Schizosaccharomyces pombe: one gene and its partners. Changing the gene in region 2 together with the main gene of any one other region gives a genetic interaction. Each region holds a gene or a part of one and is shown on either strand. Other genes may lie near its edges.

Region 1 (6,263 bases), 2.0 Mb from region 2:
GTTTTGTTCGCACTTTAATGAAATTGTACTATATGATTGACATACTACAAATGCATACCAACGCTAACAGCGTCCTGATGAAAAATCATTTTTTGAGTGCACAAAAAATAAATAGAAGTTTTCCATCCCTGCAGTGCCGCGATTCGACATGTAACTTGAAAATGGCAAATAGTCAGTTACCACTAGAACAATATATTCAGCTATGAACTAAACTTGTAGTATACGGATACCAAAAATAGAAGTAATTTGTCAAACAAGAATAAAAACTTTTCTAACTAAAAAACTAATTTAACAAACAAAAAAGCTTCACACCAATTATCAAGACTTAAGATTCAATAAATTGTCTTAAAACCAAAAAAGCAGTCACGGTCAGTTTGTTAGGGACATTGAAACAACGAAGGCTTCTCCTACACCATACCGCAATGGCAGTTGGTAAAAATAAAAGACTTTCAAAGGGAAAGAAAGGAATTAAGAAGCGTGTCGTTGACCCCTTCTCTCGTAAGGACTGGTACGATATCAAGGCTCCTGCTTTCTTTGAAGTCAAGAACGTTGGTAAAACCCTTGTCAACCGTACAGCCGGTTTAAAGAATGCCAATGATTCTTTGAAGGGTCGTATCTTGGAAGTCTCTCTTGCTGATCTTCAAAAGGATGAGGAACACTCATTCCGTAAGGTCAAGCTTCGTGTTGAGGACATCCAAGGTAAGAGCTGCCTCACCAGCTTTAACGGTTTCGATATGACCTCTGACAAATTGCGTTCTTTGGTTCGCAAATGGCAATCTACTATTGAGGCCAACCAAACCATCAAGACCACCGATGGTTACCTTTGCCGTATCTTCGTTATTGGCTTTACTAGCCGTCGTGTCAACCAAGTCAAGAAGACTACTTATGCTCAATCTTCTCAAATTCGTGCCATTCACCAAAAGATGTTCCAGGTCATCCAAAACCAAGCCAACGGTTGTTCCATGAAGGAGCTTGTCCAAAAGCTCATTCCTGAGGTTATTGGCCGGGCTATCGAGAAGGCCACCAACAACATTTATCCCTTGCAAAACGTTTTCGTTCGTAAGGTAAAGATCTTGAAGGCTCCCAAGCACGACGCCCAAAAGCTTCTTGAATTACACGGTGAGTCTCAAGACGTTGGTTCCAAGGTCATTTCTGATGTTGCTCCTTTGGAGTCTGTTTAAATTTAATAAAATTATGTGATCTTGCCGGTGTATTATATGAATTAAGGGCCTAGTTTATAGTGTCTAATTTACTCTTCTAGCAGGAAATTTAAAAGTATATTTTTATAATAACGTTGGCACATTTTAAGTAATTTGTAAACTTATATCTGCACAAAATAATCACCTTAAATTAAGAGAGTCATGTGCGTTTACTTTCATTTTTCTCCTTTTAGAAAATGCATATCATATTACATTGTTGTTATTCAATTTACTGAGGTTTACTATAGTGCATTAAATAAGAATAGATTAAAATGGTAATTTCGCGTTTTTCCAGTTCCTCCAAGATTTAGCCAGCGAGCTATTTCTATAATTATTAGATTTTCCTCCCCAAATATTCAACTTTTTTAGAGTCTCCTTTCATCATTTATAATCCTATTAGAATATTTAAATTAAAAGAATTCAAATGTTTGCTCATTAGAGAAGTTGGATCTACTAGTTAACGGACTTGGTGAATTGTTTAAAAAGTTGTTAAATTTGTTTATATCAAGCAATTTTTAAAAGTTATTTTTGGTTGTCAAATTATACATGTTATTTTATATTTCTACAGTTTTTGGTAGCTTAAAGTTTGGATAAGCAAACATTACCAAGAAACTCAATAAAATGAAAAGAAAGGTACAAAAAATTATAGATGAAGCCCCTTTAGAAGAAAATTCTCCTCCTCGATTTTTTGATTCAGATGTTGAAGCTGACTCTAAACCGAATGATTTAACTGCTGCGAATTCCATCGTAGACTTAAAAACAAATTCTCAACATGAAAATGCTAACGCAGCAGGCAAGGAATATGGAGATAGTGGAGTTTCAGAGTCATGGGTTTTAGACTTTTTATCTGTCACTGGTGAAAAAACAATTTCGGAATTTTTAGCTCAAAAAATTTGGAAAACCTCGAATGGAGATTTGAATGTCGCCGTTGATATGTATTTTGATGAATCCTTTAATATAAAGAATTCGAATCCTGACAGTGAAAGTCAGAAAGACACTGATGCCTCGTTGACCCAGATGGACCAATTATCTAATACTGTATCCGTTAAGGATCTTAGTATTAATAGGAACACAAATAAAAAAGCCTTAAATGCTGTTAGCCCTTCATTGAATTTGTCATCTAACAGTTCTGTTCAAGATGTATCTATTGATAAAGAAGAAATGATGAAGAAGCAATCACGGAATGCTCTTACTCCGCTGGACTTTATTATGAAGAAGAATGAGTTGATGAAGTATATCGGATGCTTTGGTGTGGAGGCTTATTCAACTGCATCAGGTACTCGAACACTCCAGGCTGGCGAAAGGATCTATTTAGAACGTCAAAAACTTTCCATAAAATCACAATCGAGAAATTCTAGGAAAAAATCAAAATTGCTAAGCATTAATTCTTCATGCTATAGCAATATCGTTAGATTTTGTAATTCAGATCATCATGAAATTGGTAAATTACCTACTGAAGTCGCTTCTGTTATTTCAACGTTGATGGAGCAAGGTTTTTGGTCATTTGAAGCCATATGCATTTACTCCGACAATATAATTAGATTTGGGAGTAATGTCACTTTACAAGTTTATTGTTTTATCAATGTCAATCATCCGTCCTTGAACCGATCTCCATTCACTTTGGCAACTAATTCTATGCAAGAAGAGGAAGAACATTTAAAAGCCTCTTTTGCTCAAAATAAACGTGATCATTTACTTCGTTTGTTTACTTGGATAGCTTTGGAACCAGACCTTGAAGACTGCAACACTAAAGAGAGTATTCATATTGATGATATATTGAAAACAAGTTCATTGCCTGAAGCGAGGGACGAGAGTAACTCAGATCTAACCCCATCCTCAACTGAAGACGAGGAAGATGTTGTTAGCGACCAACTTGCTATATTATATGACAAAGTTAAAACTTCTGGAGCTGAATTGCCGTCTGCTCCAAAGCCATCAACGTTTGCTCTTGATCTTCGTGAGTATCAAAAACAGGCTTTGTATTGGATGTGTTGTAAAGAAGAGGGCGTACAAAGTGATGGTAGTGCACCTAAGCTTCATCCTTTGTGGAGTCGATTTCGATTTCCAAAGGACTCAGAATTCCCTGAATTCTTTAAATGTTCTAGTGATGATGACAACACACATTTTTACGTTAACTTATATACTGGCGAAACTACAATGTTGTTTCCGAATTCAATGCCTTATCATCGGGGTGGAATTTTAGCAGACGAAATGGGCTTAGGCAAAACGATTGAAGTATTATCACTTATTCATTCTAGACCTTGCTTTTCAACCGATGAAATACCAGAAGCCTTTAGACATTCTAAACCCAGCCTTCCTGTCGCCAGTAGGACGACTTTGGTAGTAGCACCTATGTCATTGTTAGATCAATGGCACTCCGAAGCTTGTAAGGTGTCTCAAGGCACCAAATTCAGAAGCATGATTTATTATGGTTCTGAAAAGCCTTTGGATCTGAAGTCTTGTGTTATTGATACATCCACAGCTCCCTTGATCATCATAACTAGTTATGGTGTGTTACTTTCAGAATTTAGTCAGCAATCTCATTCTTCGGGATTGTTTTCTGTGCATTGGTTCCGTGTTGTCCTTGATGAAGGACATAACATTAGAAATAGGGAAAGCAAAACCGCGAAAGCGTGTCATAGTATTTCGTCCCAGAATCGTTGGGTGATTACAGGTACGCCAATAGTCAATAAACTGGATGACTTGTATAGCTTGATTAAATTTATGCGATATGAGCCGTGGTGTAATTACACTTATTGGCAAACCTTTGTGAGTCTGCCATATCAGTCAAAAGATGTCTTAAAGGCGTTGAATGTTGTTCAATCAATTTTGGAGTTTTTAGTTTTGAGAAGAACCAAAGAAACTAAAGATAGAAACGGAAACTCAATTGTTACGTTACCTCCAAAAACCGTAAAAATTGAATATTTGGACTTTTCTGACTCAGAAAGGAAAATTTATGACTCTCTCTATACCAAAGCAAAAAGTACCGTTAATGCAAACATAGTTGCCGGAACGCTGTTCAGAAACTATACAACGATCCTCGGATTACTTTTAAGATTAAGACAGGCGTGTTGTGACCCTGTGCTTCTTTCCAATATGACCATTAACAGTGAAACGTTTGATGATTTTGAGTTTTCGGTTGAGCAATTTAATTCTTTAATTAATCAATTTGTTGTCACTGGAAAGCCCATTCCTTCAGATATTTTAAAAATTGATACACTGAAGTCTTTTGAAGCATTGATAACGGAATGTCCCATATGTTGTAATGAACCAATTCAAAATCCCTTGTTATTGAACTGCAAGCATGCTTGTTGCGGAGATTGTTTGTCAGAACATATTCAGTATCAAAAAAGAAGAAACATAATTCCTCCGCTTTGTCATACATGTCGTCAACCCTTCAATGAGCAAGATGTCTATAAACCTTTTTTTGTCAAAAATAACGGAACACAGTCTACGCTTTTAGTCGGTGAGGAAGTAAAATGGAAATATTGGAATAGGCTACAATCAGTGAAACTTAATGGCCTTTTAGGACAATTGCGTCAATTAACTCATAGTTCTGAACCTGAAAAGGTCGTTATCTTTTCACAGTTTACCACATTCCTGGATATTATCGCAGACGTTCTCGAGTCAGAGAAGATGGGGTATGCTAGATTCGATGGTACCATGTCACAACAAATGAGGTCGACGGCTTTAGAGACATTTCGAAATGATCCTGATGTTAACGTGCTGATTATCTCTTTAAAGGCAGGCGGGGTTGGTTTAAACCTTACTTGTGCCAACCATGTTTTTATTATGGATCCATGGTGGAGCTGGTCAGTGGAAGCACAGGCCATCGATCGTATTCATCGTTTAGGACAGGAAAAGCCTGTATTTGTGACGAGATATATTGTACGTGATACTGTTGAGGAAAGGATGCTCAAAATACAAGAACGCAAAAATTTTATTACTGGGACCCTGGGCATGTCGGAAGGAAAGCAGCAGGTTCAGTCAATTGAAGACATCAAAATGTTGTTTGAATATTAACAACGGTTTCACCAAGCCGATTAAAAGCTATCGTAAAAAAAAAGTATTTTCATATTATGCATATGAAATGCAATTGCTACCGTGGTCGTTGTCATGACTGTCAAATTCTAAGAGAGTATGTGATAAACAAACTGCGTTACAAGATAAATTATAAACTATCTACACCCCTTGGATTTGTTGATTCACGTCTATCACTAATGAATGCGAAATAGTCGAATTCGGTGCATAAGTAACAAAAGTATTAAGGAACGACAGTTTACCCTGGAGCTATACAATCTAAAGTAGTGAATGTGTAATACTTTATTCCATTTTTTGAACTCATAAATTTCCTTGGATGACTTACTTTTTTGTATTCATGATGTTGTTGCTGAGTATCATGGGCAAGGGAATATAAGTTTTAGCTGCTGCAGTGTAAAGGCTGGCTAATGTTTTGTTCAGTATATTAGAGATAGGTATAATTGTTAACTTTTATTCGATTTTTTTATTATTGTTAACCTTGTTAAATAGTAGTAGCGATTGTGATGGAAATCCGGTCACAGAAAGAAAGCGATGTGTATAATTCAACTATATTGGTCAGCCTCTCTCTTTGTTGAAAAGTCGAAGTAGTTGTTTAATAAGGTCAAGATATTTTGATGAAATCAGTGACACAAAATTAAATCCGAATATTTTAGCTAAGTTTTCATTCCATAAATTTCATTTTTCTAATAGCTACCCGTAGAAAGTTTTATAAGCAAGTAACGTGCCGGTTGCTGGGTTATAAAAATTTAGGCAAGGTTACGGTTGTCTCTACCATCGGCAAAGGAGCCGACGTTAATAAAATATTTAACAAAGCCTTTAAAAAATTAACGATAGCTAGTCAAAGGAAGCTTAACGCGTATTCAGCCTCATTAAGACAATCAGGAAGCTTTTTTTTACCATCAGCATATACCTCTAACCCTTTGATTTATTTTTATATCTCGAGATTTCGTTCGTTATTTTATAGGTCGTTTCGATAAGACCTTAATACAATCTGATTTAGTGGTTGTTTAAGATTTCGGAAAA
Region 2 (4,000 bases):
GTGCGCCTTAAGGAAAATCTCGTAAATTCCGGCACGCTCATCGTTATAGGGATTATCTTTCCTAGACATTGCATTTTTAGCTGTCTCAATGTCAATTAGTTGCCAAGATCCCTCATCTTCCTTGACACCATGATTAACATCACTAGGTAAACTTGCTTCACCGTTGGAATTTGTTTCACTTTTCTCAGCAAAAAGTGGTAAGCGCTCATTTGAAGTTTGGGCTTTTTTTTGTGAAAATCCTTGAGAATTTGTAAAAAGTTTTGGCTCCCAACCCTCAGGTATTGTAGGAGGAGGAAACCAATTATTTTGAAAAGGTGATTGTAAATTAAATACCACTACAAATCCTGGAAGGGGAGGTAGACCATCTGAGCAATTTTGCGATTTGATTATGCTTTTCCCTTTGCTTCTGTCTTTTTTTGACAGAAAGGTATGCTTAACGGGTGTAAATGGAGAAGCGACTTTTTTTGTAATGTTGATAGATTTATCATACCGCATTTTTGGAGCACCGAGGTCGTATATATCTTGATCTTCTATCCCATCATCATTTAAAACACCTGATCCAAATCCACCGCGCAGATTTTTTGCCATTCCAACTGGTTTTCTTTCCAGCTGAAAAACATCGTCCGCTTGATACCCGATACCGTGATAAGCTTGGTTGGTTAACTTAGTGTCATCATAATACCCTTGAAATGGAGATATAACAAAATCATGACCGTTCCATCCAAGATTTTTTAACATTTTTTCGCCAATGCTATCGTCCCTATTTGAGAATTCTCTAAGTAGAGGATCATCAATTGGTATAGATGTATCAATCGTATTTATTTTCGAAGTATAAACTTTACTAAGCTCTTGGTCAGCACGATCTTCCTCGTCCATAATATCGTCAATAGTCATTCCATGCACACTTTTGTTTTCATTCCTTGAACTTTTCCAAGATTTAGGTTGCCAACCCTCTTTTGAACCAACCGTATTAAAATAGCCAGCAGAAAATCCACCAGTAAATGCACCATGAAATCTCTTTCTATTACGCTCATCCCTGGCTTCTTGTTTCCAAACAGGAACTCCTTGATTAATTCTGGACGGCTCAAGATCAAAAGGGGAGCCATAAACTACATAAGGGTGCCGATGAACATCGACATTGCTTCTTTTTCTTGAATTGGCATACATTTTAAAACAAGAAGTAATCGTGATCCGTAGTTAAACTGAAAAAAAAAAAATTCAAAATTCAAAATTTAAGGCATATTTTAGGATACTATAAGCCCATTATTTTTGAGGCGACAAGAATACTATGTTGAGCAACTTTTAATTTTTAATAAAGCCAGATAACTTATCAAAGAATTCTGATTTGTTGACAAAAGCAATTACAATACTCAATTTTTAAACAGTTGCCCTTGCTTCGAATTTCAGCTGCCTCCGTAGTGCAATCTGCGAGCGTTAGGGTACGTTATTTATCTATTACCTAATTCTTTGTACAGTTGAAGTTTCATGAGATGAAAAATGTATCATGTATATTTTGTCTGTTATTGAGAAATCTCAACAAAGTTCTATTTAGTATTACTTCATGTTGAACCAAGCATTCATAAACTAAGAAATTTGTTGGTAGCTGGTAAACTGAGCGAATTATCGTCGGTTGATTGGTAAAACATCATTTCTTATACTTCGTTTGCTCAACCATACTACGAATTTTAATGCCTAACAATTAATGAGCAATACACATTTGGATATGCTGCTTATATAATTTCACATATCTTGATAACTTAATTATCAATTAAGGAATGGTGGTTAGGCAAGTATGTGTATCATTACGTGGGGTTTTTCATAGATGTATGGTTTGAAGATGTTAAAAAAATAAGTGTAAGCGGTTACTATGCTAATGTTCTATAAAAACCAATGTTCATATAAATATTCGTCGATTGCGGGGCTTCTTCTCATAAGGATTATAATTACTAAACATAGAGGTATTGGCAGGTCAGTTGTAATTCGCGTACAACATCTTCGACTCACCACTTCTATAGTGGTACATAAATTACCGTTTCTTTCTGCGAAAAAGTGGGTTAGAAGTTCGTGCTATTACTTCTAAATAATCGTGAGAATTTAATTCAATCGTAGGATACAAAGCTGTTCATTATATAAAACTATCAACTTTCGAATATTCTATGGTGTGGATATAATTTTCATTTATCTTTATGAGTAAAAACTATACATATCATATTTACAATTAAAAATCTTCTTTCTTTCTACTATATGGATGGATATTTCGAATTATGTTGACAATTTCTACTTTGATGAGAAAATTGCTTCAGCATTTGAATTAGGTAAGCGTTTAGTAGTTCAATAAGCTTGCACATAAAAAAAAAATATTGGGTTTTTGTACCGGGATCTTAAAAGACGGAATTACTGACAGCTTTAGGAGAAGTAAGCACGGTTGATTTGTTAACGCTGGATATTACTGAGCTAGAAAGACGCACACATTGTAGTCAAAGTGAGTTATTACAGTTAATTGAGCAGATATCCCTCCTTCTTCAACCAGTAAGATGTTCTGCTTCCAAAGTCACTTCGAAATATTTGACAACTGGCGATGTAAAGTTGGATGAAACTCTACATGGAGGTATACCAGTAGGACAGTTAACTGAAATATGTGGTGAAAGCGGTTCAGGGAAGTCACAGTTTTGTATGCAGCTTTGTTTAATGGTTCAACTACCTCTCAGTTTAGGAGGAATGAACAAAGCAGCTGTCTTCATTTCTACAGAGTCCGGTCTTGAAACAAAACGATTATTTGAACTGGCGCGTTATTTACCAGAAAGGTATCCCAAAGCTGATAAGAAAGACATAATTATAAAAAATCCAGGAGATAGGGTGTATACTATATTATGCCCAGATCTGGAATCTCAAGAACATATCATTCAGTATCAACTGCCGATTTTATTCAATCGGGATAAAATTGGGTTGGTTATATTGGATAGTGTCGCCTCCAACTACAGAGCTGAGCTCCGTTACAACCGATCCAAAAGTCATTTTAGAGATTTAGATAATATTGCCAAACGTGGAAATCAATTGGGAAAGTTAGCTATGACTCTACGCACTTTAGCTCATCAACATGAAGCTGCTGTTGTCATAGCTAACCAAGTTAGCGATAGAATTCCTAGAGATTATGATGCTATTGGGTTGTTTAGTTTAGATTATCAATCGCAATGGTTTTCGGGATGGGATGACACAGATCCAAATCCCAAAATACCATCTCTTGGTCTCGTTTGGACTAATAACATCAGTACGAGATTAGCATTAATTAAGAAAACCGACTCTGCCACCAATAATTCGGGGAGAATCTTTCGGGTTGTTTATTCACCAAATTCTCCAAGGCTTGACGTACGAATATGCATAGGATCGGTTGGGATATATTCGTGCTAGCATTTTTGTAAAAATTTTATATATAATATAATAAAACCGGTTTATGAATTGCCCTAACTTTGTTTAATCGACTGTCGCTTATCAATCATTCGCAGAAAGAAAAGTAATGCTTTGAGTAACTGTTACATATATAAGTGTACTTATTTATCTTTATATTTATATTACCTCTGTCACTATTAAATATATATTTTGTTGATCTATGATGGTAGTGCATTTTTATTAGAATCCGACATACTTTAGTGGACTGAATTTTGGATATACCAGTTGGGTATTGAAATGGAAAAAAATACAATAAAAAGTTTTACACGTAACAAAGAATGCCCAAAGAGCTCTCTTAACCGACGAATGGCTTTTTCTACCTGTTTTTACTATTGCGCGTAAAAGATTTTGTAAGACCTTTCCGATAGCTTCCGCTATTGGCGATCCTTTAGAAATTTGCACCTAACATTTTTACCAAAAGCCAAGTATGCATTGGTGATATCTTGTAAATAAAAAATGAACATTCTTTTATAACATAATCGTTACAAAAATAGAACACAAAAATGTCAGTTCCAATTGATCGAATCAATACGGTTGACACTTTAGCCAATAC
Region 3 (4,673 bases), on a different chromosome or scaffold from region 2:
CAAGTCGTTTTATTAAAAAAAAAAAAAGCCAGCCTTCCTTAATAGTAAAGTTGCTACATTTACAATTACTGTTGACCGGTTATCATTCATGCAATTTGGATTAGTTAAAAAAGTTGAACATCACAGAATCATCCATCATTCATGAAGGTCGTACTGGGAATCGAACCCAGGTCTCGAGAATCAGAATCTCACGTGCTAACCATTACACCATACAACCAAATCAATTTTTTTGTGTGATATAGTTATTAATATTGGAGAATAAGAAAACAATTTAAATGCTGTTTGTACTATGAATCTAATTTTACAATTTAAACAACATACTATAATATTATCCTTTTGCGGTACAAAAAATGGATGAGGGATTTCCCTCAGCTTTAGAGAAATGCTTTTAAGCAAAATTACGACAAAAATCAACAATAGTTGTTTGAACTAAAATAATATCACGGATTTGAGGAGCTTTATTTTATAAAACAATATTATAACCTTATTTATTTAATTATATTGAACATGAATAAAATGAAGCCAGCAATAACAATAAACCATTTGTGTATACATTCTACTGGAAAATAAAGTCAAAATCCACCAACCTTGAGAATAATGAGCTCGAATTAAAGTATAAGTAAAAGAGACAAAGCAGCTTAGCAGATTGAGTACGAATCATTCAGCGGGTTTGGCAAATCATGAATGTCCGTTATAAATTTTAACGTAGATAACTTAAGGAGGTTAAATGTGTGACAATTAAAAGAATAGAAAACCATGAAAAAATCATAAGTCAATAACGAATGTTACTGAGAAGTTGGTCGGGCCTTTTGAAGCAAATGCAGCAAGTATTGAGTAACCGCTCGATAGTGTTGCTCCATCATGTCCGAAGTTTCAGTATGTTCACTTTGCATAAGTCGTCCATATCTTCTTTTAGCACGCTTTGCCTTTTTCCAGCACTCATTACTAGAACTCACAAACACGAGTGAATGACGATAATACCACGTTGGAAGATCTTCCTCTGATGCCGTTTTAAGACCCACCAAAGGTTCAGTGCCAAGGAAATTCACCATACACTTAACTCTGTCTGACACATTCCTGGAAGATGCCAAATTAACCAATCCATGTACCGCTTTGCCTCCACCGATGAAAAAAATATTTTTTGAAATCGACAACTCAACATAATTATCCCATACATAAAGACAAAGTTCTTTCACTTCAGAAAGAATGTCAACCGGTGCATTTTCACCGTCCGTAACCACTTCAGGTATATTTATGTCGATAAGCCCCCAGTCCTGTTGCATAGCCCATTCAACATAAAGGCTCACGGGATCTACTAAAAGCGAATCATTTAAATTCAAAACGTTCGTTTCACTAGTTCCATTACCCAGGACTCTAGGAGATTCATGGACAATAACGAGAAGGTTATCTTTTTGAAAGAAATTGCTAGAGCACAGTACTTGATTGTTGAATACATTGGAAACGGAATCCCTTAGTATTGGCATATTGGTAATTTTCCAGTCTTCGAAAAGTTTTTTAGCTTGATAAGTTCGAATAACATCATGTAATCGATCTACATGGGCATCCTTAGGATTTGCGTCGAAGTGTTTCGGCCTCATACATCTCCAGTATTGGGATTGTATTTTGGTTACATGGTTGATGGTAGCAACGGCCTGTGGACATGCATATGTTGTATGCAATCGTCCAGGAGGAATTCCCAACAAACTTTGGGCTACAGCTAAGGCTGATGTGCTTATAGAATCCAAATTATAACCTCCCTCAAGGGAGATAAAAACTTTCCCATCTGCTAATCCCATTAACATTTGTGTCATATGAGCATAGGCAGCTGGAGTTAACAAGAATTGACCAATGTGATCTCCTGCAGCAGCATCAAAGCCGCAACTTACAATAACTAAATCTGGATCAAATTCATAAGCAACAGGCATTACGACGCGCTGAAAAGCGTATATATAATCACCATCTCCCATGCCAGCACAACTCCAAGGAATATTTACAGTTCTACCCAATCCCGGGCCCTCTCCACAATTTTCTGCACACCCATAATTGGTGCCAGGATAGAAACGACCATTTTCATATCGATGCAAAGAAACGTATAGAACATTTGGATCGTCATAAAAAGCCATTTGCGTACCATTTCCATGGTGTATATCCCAGTCGACAATCAATACTCTTTTTATTTTATCCGGAAAGCGTTGTAGCATACTCCTTGCGGTTACAGAAACATTGTTGAATAAACAAAAGCCACCAGGTTTATGGGGTTCTGCATGATGGCCAGGAGGGCGAACAACTGCGAAGGCATTTTTTACTTGACCAGTTACGACAGCCGTACATGTTTCAATTGCGCTACCACAAGCCAATCGAGCACAAAACGCACTTTCGTTATTATAGTATAGAGAATCACTGATTTTTTCGAGATTGGCCAAATCCTCATGAGACATTTTTTCGGTATTAGTAACCCTATCATACATTTCCTGTGAATGAACTTGTAATAACTCTTCTAAAGTAGCTTCTCTAGCCGGAATCCGTAAAAATACATCTGACGGACTCGGCACATTAGATACATAACCGGCCTTCTTTATAGCTTCAAAAACACGAAGGACGCGTCTTGGATCTTCAGGATGGTCATCCACTTCACTTAGAGTGGCATGGAATCTCATTCGAGGATCATAGCATAATCCAGATTTTTTCAAGATTTGCGACATTTCATGGGATTCGTTATTTAATGTATTTTCACTTCCAGACATTGGTTTATTGTTTGTCAAAAGAATAGACCATGGAGTTACCGTGTTTACAGCATCATCGGATGGTTTTACAGAAGTAGATGCACCATCAGAATTAGAGGCCAGCATTCGTTTTCTATCGCCCTTAAAAAGGTCAATCAATTAATAAATTAATAAAAAAATCTCCTATTAAACAACTCCCTCATAAAACTGTCGAAACACTTTTTGAAGCGCGGCTCACTCGATATAGGTAGTTTTGGTCGTCAAAACTGTTGCTGGTACTTCTAAGACATAAGTATAGAGGAGCAATGAGAGAATATAATCTCAACCATGCTAACAAAGGAGTTTGTTTGGTAAAGAATAAAAATGTAAGTAATTAAGACGTTTAGTAAGGCTTTAAATAGAAGATTGATCCTGAACGTATGGAGATTGAGAAAAAATAGAGTTTGTAATGAGGCTCATGGGAGGGTCTTATTTTTATTTATTTATTTATTTTATTTTCTTAGAAACTTAAAAATAGCTTTGTCTCGAGCCATACTTCGAAATGAATGCATAATTTTGCGAGTTCGCGAATTTCCATTATCTTATATAATAATCATTTCAAATCATAAGGATCAAGATGTAGGAAGAACGTTAATAAATACATGGTAAATAATGTTTCTATGATCTTTAAGACTGTTGTACGCCCGGAAACATTCACCCTTTGTCATAAACATCATTAAGCATTATCACAATTTGGCTTGTACATATCAAGCATTTAAACATATAGAGGGTTAATAGCTCATCAACCATAGGACTGGAGACGGATAGCAAGAAATAACAAAACTTCTCAAACGAGATTTTTCCAAAAATTCTTCAGCAGGATGTGAACAATCAATCTATTCATCCAAATTATAGATTAACTCTCATGAAATAATTATGTAATTTTATATCTTAATGCTCGTATACCATCTAAAATGAAGGATGTTATGGTTTTTTCGAAGGCATAGAATTCACCAACGTAAGCATAACTTCAGCTGCCTTGCAATCATCTGCCGATAGGGGATAAGCCGTTGGAAAAGGAAGACTCGTGGACTTGCGAATTCTACTGAGGTTTGCAGTGCCAAGGCGAAGAGACTCATCGGTTTCTTCAGGGCGTGAAATATGGTAATTCATTCCGAACAGTGGAGATTTAGCTGAAGCAGTGGAGGCATGGCTAAGTTCAAATGGCAGTCTGGGTAGCTCAGTATGAGGCTCAACGTAGTTCAACCAAGGAGGACTAGTTCTATCAAAAGACGAGGACGTAGAAGAAACAGCACTAGAAGATGAGTAAGGAGATACAGGCTTCTTATAAGGAAGCTGAGCGAAGCCCTCTCTTGGGCTCACCAATCGCGTAAATGAACTTGCACGCAGCTTGCCTGTATTCGATCCCATAATTGAGTTGGGGTGATGCGGCCTTCTTAGCTTAGAAGAGTCCAAGTCATTGATCGAGCGTGATCTACGATGAACGTGATTTTCCTTACGAACAAGCGTTTCCACTTGATCTAATGTCTGATCTTCCCATCCATGATCGACCTTAAAAAACGCTGCCTTCAAACGAGCCCTAAGTTTGTTTGATAACTTGTATTCAAAAGTTAATGACAATTCGCAACGATTTTTATGCTAAACCAAAATTATTCATCGACGATTCTATTTGTATCGTCGAGATGTTACCTAATTGTGTTTGCGTAATTGACATACCTTGCTTAATGATTCATCGTATTTTTGTTGAATAACTTCATCAGTCTGCCTTGTAGCTTCATTTTTCTTGTGGCCGCCTGCCATGAATTAATATTTGTTGAGTTCGTCTGTATGCAGGTATATAAAAATGACGAGTTATTAGCCTATTCGAATTCTCCTTTCGATAAATTCCTTTTATAATATCCAATTGCAATCAAATAATCCTCCGTATAGCATATAATTGTTTCAATTGAA
Region 4 (3,884 bases), on a different chromosome or scaffold from region 2:
CTTCTTCTTCCTCATCATCCGTGTCAAATTCTCCATGTTCTTTGGGCTTCGTGCCATGCGTCATTTCCGGATCTAAAGTACCATCTACTTCGCCTTCTAATAAAGATTTTCTATGTTCTCTCTCCTGTATCTTGGCTCCCAACTTCATCAAATATGGCCGGATTAACATATATCCTCCAACATATACGATAATTCGAATCCAGTCCTTCAATGAATATGATTGTAAATAGCCTGCAACGTCAAACCCCATTTTCCTTGCACAAAAAAGAGTGGTGGATACTAAGTTCACCTGTCTGCTCAACCAGGCAAACTATTATTAACCAAGTCACTAAAATTCTTTAGACTTTTTTAGAATTTTTAAAACCTCGTTATTCGTCTTAACGTATATTCTCAATGATATGCTGTAAAAAGATTTATTAATTAGGCTATAATACTAATTTATTTAAAAATTTTATAGTTATTTGCTTTCTTAGTTTATTTTAAAATTATTTTCATACAAATTTTACTTGGTTTACAGTATTTATACCGTGACTTATGATTCTCTTAAAAGAAGAATTTTCCAAATTAAATAGAACGTACAGTAAATAAAAAATTATATAACATAAATATAAGGTGGGATTTTATGAAGTAGACATATGTGCTTAGAAAATAAATAGAAAAAATGCGAAAGTAAGGTTCACTACTAAAGGCGAAACGAAGGTGATAACTTCAGCAGTGCTTTATCAGAGTTCCCAACTATCTTCTTCTTTGACAAAACTATCATTAGAATCATTCAAGGTTTCTAATTTCCTCTGCAAAGACAGGCTTCGCTCGTTGGCTTGCTGAGAAGAACCCACCCCCATGGTATGCGGGCTGAATTGGATAGTTTTAGGTGGAGACATTCCACTTGGGTTAATGCTATCATAGCTTTCATGCTCAAATTCTGCAAATAAAGAAAGAGCATGCGAAGAGTTTCTATCGTTAAGTGAAGGCATGTCCATTTTCATTGATATGGGAGAAGGCGATACAAAAGGAGAAGAATCAATATCCATTACTTCTTGAGATTGCAAATTCTTAGGCTCACGTGGAGTCACTTGTACTTGCCAATTTGTATCTAAAACGCGATGCAGAAGGGCACTACGACCTGTATGAGGATTATTTTCTGGTTTTCTTAGCGGAGTCTGCATCCTTGCCGGGATGGGGGTCAAAGCTGCATCATCTAACGAAATATCCTCTAAGGAGACATCCATCTTCTTAGGAGTGGACTGTACAAAATCCTCGTTTTTTGTATTATCTCCTTGTACAGCTGCATCGGGAAAATCAGATTTTCCGACAAAAGAATGCCTCTTTTCCAAATGTTCATTCTTTGTGTGCAGCTGTAGGTCCGCCTCTGTAGAATTAGACATAACATCTTGATCGCTTGGATTGGATTCTACTGGAACAGGTTCCTCTACACCCGAAAGTGAAACATTGGCACTTGCTTCAAAAAACTGCTTCCAAAACTGTTTTCTGTTAGCTTAATTCTTAAAATAATACAAATTACAAGCTGAATCATGAGTGGCAGTTGCCATTGAACATACTTTTGAAGAGTCCCATATAGTGTTACAATTTTTTGCGTATTTTTCCACGATAGGCAAGATTTTGGTAGTCACTGTTCGATGACATTTAGAAAAATTTGCATCAATTTCGTAAAGTGCTAGAGTAATCGATTGTTCCAATCGTTCTAATCTAATTCTTTTGTTAGAGAATGTTTATCTACAGTCGCGACAAGTTTACTGCATACTGTTCCAAATTGTTCATAAGAATGACATCTAATACTCATAAAAACTTTGAAAATATTATTTCTTAGTATAGAAACTCTCAATGGTGAAATTTATGGCGAACTGCAACTGAGGTGTAGGTATACTAGCGTCCATTATTAGCGATGTTTCGTAAAGTAAACAAGTTAAATTGGCAATATACAGTGAGATTTTTGTAAGTTCAAGATAATACTAATACAATCATTGTTGAGTAATAAATATGAATTTTAAAGTTTTGTTTACTTTCCTCAGTGGACTAAATGCAGACTGCAATGATCAAATGATCCATAGTAAACAAACATTCAACTTGTCTTTTGCCAGCATCCTCAAGATCCAAAATGAGTAGTATCTTTGGAGAGAATATTGTTTCAGATAGTATAGTAAATATGGAGTTGACGAACCCTGATAATACTACGACTATGCATCCCATCTATGAAACTAACATTGAAAAGGAAGTCCAGCAGGAGTTTTCTGACAATGTCTCTGAAAAAGAAACGATTGACTCAACTAAAAGCAAAATATCTTTAGAAAATATACAGCAAGAAATGGGAGCACTTGCCAAGAAAATTTTTCATAAATTAGGGGTTAAAGCAACCGACTTGGGATTTTCTAATGAGCATGATGACTCGCAGGATTCATTACAGACACTAGCGCCTTCTCCATCATATGTTCCACTTTTGAAGGTTATTGGAAGCTCTGAGGAGGTCAATAGCAACTTGGTATTAACCGACTTGGAAACAAATACTGATGGATATGATCCTAAATTTTTGATTTCTGTTAGGAAGTTTTTGATGGGATCTCCCAACTCTGGCTTTGTCGTTAAACATGAGAAACGTCTTCCAGATGGACCGCGTGTTCTGGCCCTTCGAGCCATTTCATCAGTCGATGAAGAAAATAGAAAAGAGCGCCTATCTCCTGATAGTGATCCTGTTGAAACAGAATCTGTTTATGTTGACAATGGAGAATTGTCAAATCAAAAAGTAGAAACAGTTGAAATTTCCGAAAAAGAACAAAATGATGATCCCGCCGGATATTCTCAATACCTTCTAGAGTTCAAGAAGAGTAAATGTCAAAAGAAAGTGCCGACTTTAGAGAGTATTGAGGAAAATGAAGGAACGGAACCTCATGACAACTTGACCTTTATGACTGATTTGGGAACTCCATACTATTCTCTGGGTAATGAATTTGAAAGAAAGCAAATTTTGGATGAATACGGGTTGCTGGCTAATGATGAAAACCTAGTTATTGGACACACGTTAAGAGCGGAGTATTGCTTTATGTTTGATGAAAGCGATATCCTGCAATTACGCAATTATGAACATACAGAAAAGGAACTTAGTGTCCTTCAATTTAAAGGGGTCTCGTCACGTTGGGATTTTCGTTGCTGTAGAGAAGAACGTTTACTCCGATTGCTACTATGTTTCGACAGTGAACATACTGGGCAATCTTTCATTCAACTGAACGATCCTGAAAATGAAAATGAAAAGGAAGAACAAAATTCCATTAGCATTAGGGAATTATCCTACTTCAGCACAAAACTTATTTCATTGATCTTACCCAAAGAAGCACATAAGCAGCGGTATATCATGCTAAGCTCCTTAGCAAAGACAAGGGAAGCTGATTTCTTTTGGTCTGAAGAGGAAAAAACTAATTATACAAACGAGCTTCTCAGCAACCCATGCAAATTCCTTTGTGAACTAGATCATTTCGATTCATTTCCTCATCAACAACAAGATCTACTCTGGAAGTACTTAGCGGAGTTTTCTGCTAGTTTAGAGTTAGACCCCAACCTTGCCCTTTGGAAGAAGCAAGTTATTTTTTCAAAAATCGGTCATCCGAAGTTGCTGGTTATGCCAATATCTAGTTTCCACTGCGTACAACGTTTCCCTGACCTTGTTTGCGTTCAAACTTCAACTGCTGAAACGTTTTTGTCTGTGGATCGTGAATTAACAACTTATGACCTAAACACTATTAAGTTGTTAAACACAGCACCTAGTCGTACAGCTCAAAACTGGCTTTTTATCATGCATCACCTAGAAATTGTAGGCTATTTATTTCCACATTTGGTTCATCTCGATAAACAGTATAGTTTATTAGATTATGCAA

The links.
Region 1: mutations in rad57 (region 2) and rad8 together harm fitness more than expected from each alone (negative genetic interaction), as found in Schizosaccharomyces pombe (3 studies listed by BioGRID, with this or other methods).
Region 3: mutations in rad57 (region 2) and clr3 together harm fitness more than expected from each alone (negative genetic interaction), as found in Schizosaccharomyces pombe (2 studies listed by BioGRID).
Region 4: mutations in rad57 (region 2) and ask1 together harm fitness more than expected from each alone (negative genetic interaction), as found in Schizosaccharomyces pombe (3 studies listed by BioGRID, with this or other methods).

Annotation. Positions count from the first base shown.
Region 1 is NC_003424.3:169,931-176,193, reverse strand, and holds rad8 (ATP-dependent chromatin remodeller/ubiquitin-protein ligase E3 Rad8), read left to right. Parts: upstream 1-1,501; 5' UTR 1,502-1,820; coding exon 1,821-5,222; 3' UTR 5,223-5,705; downstream 5,706-6,263. Other genes in the region: rps101 (40S ribosomal protein eS1), read left to right, coding at 423-1,181.
Region 2 is NC_003424.3:2,121,042-2,125,041, forward strand, and holds rad57 (DNA recombination mediator, RecA family ATPase Rad57/Rhp57), read left to right. Parts: upstream 1-1,988; 5' UTR 1,989-2,248; coding exon 2,249-2,315; exon of another isoform or gene 2,316-2,410; coding exon 2,411-3,408; 3' UTR 3,409-3,465; downstream 3,466-4,000. Other genes in the region: gpl1 (Gpl1-Gih35-Wdr83 complex RNA-binding subunit), read right to left, coding at 1-1,167; whi2 (phosphatase activator), read left to right, coding at 3,951-4,000. UniProt on the Schizosaccharomyces pombe protein: Involved in recombination DNA repair and in the repair of gamma-ray-induced damage.
Region 3 is NC_003423.3:252,998-257,670, reverse strand, and holds clr3 (class 2 histone deacetylase Clr3), read right to left. Parts: upstream 2,986-4,673; 5' UTR 2,850-2,985; coding exon 786-2,849; 3' UTR 533-785; downstream 1-532. Other genes in the region: cell cycle transcriptional repressor Whi5, read right to left, coding at 3,687-4,361, 4,440-4,523. UniProt on the Schizosaccharomyces pombe protein: Responsible for the deacetylation of lysine residues on the N-terminal part of the core histones (H2A, H2B, H3 and H4).
Region 4 is NC_003423.3:1,561,786-1,565,669, forward strand, and holds ask1 (DASH complex subunit Ask1), read right to left. Parts: upstream 1,867-3,884; 5' UTR 1,780-1,866; coding exon 1,763-1,779; intron 1,708-1,762; coding exon 1,560-1,707; intron 1,482-1,559; coding exon 723-1,481; 3' UTR 541-722; downstream 1-540. Other genes in the region: protein trafficking protein Pga2, read right to left, coding at 1-250; protein meu25, read left to right, coding at 2,117-3,884. UniProt on the Schizosaccharomyces pombe protein: Component of the DASH complex that connects microtubules with kinetochores and couples microtubule depolymerisation to chromosome movement; it is involved in retrieving kinetochores to the spindle poles before their re-orientation on the spindle in early mitosis and allows microtubule depolymerization to pull chromosomes apart and resist detachment during anaphase.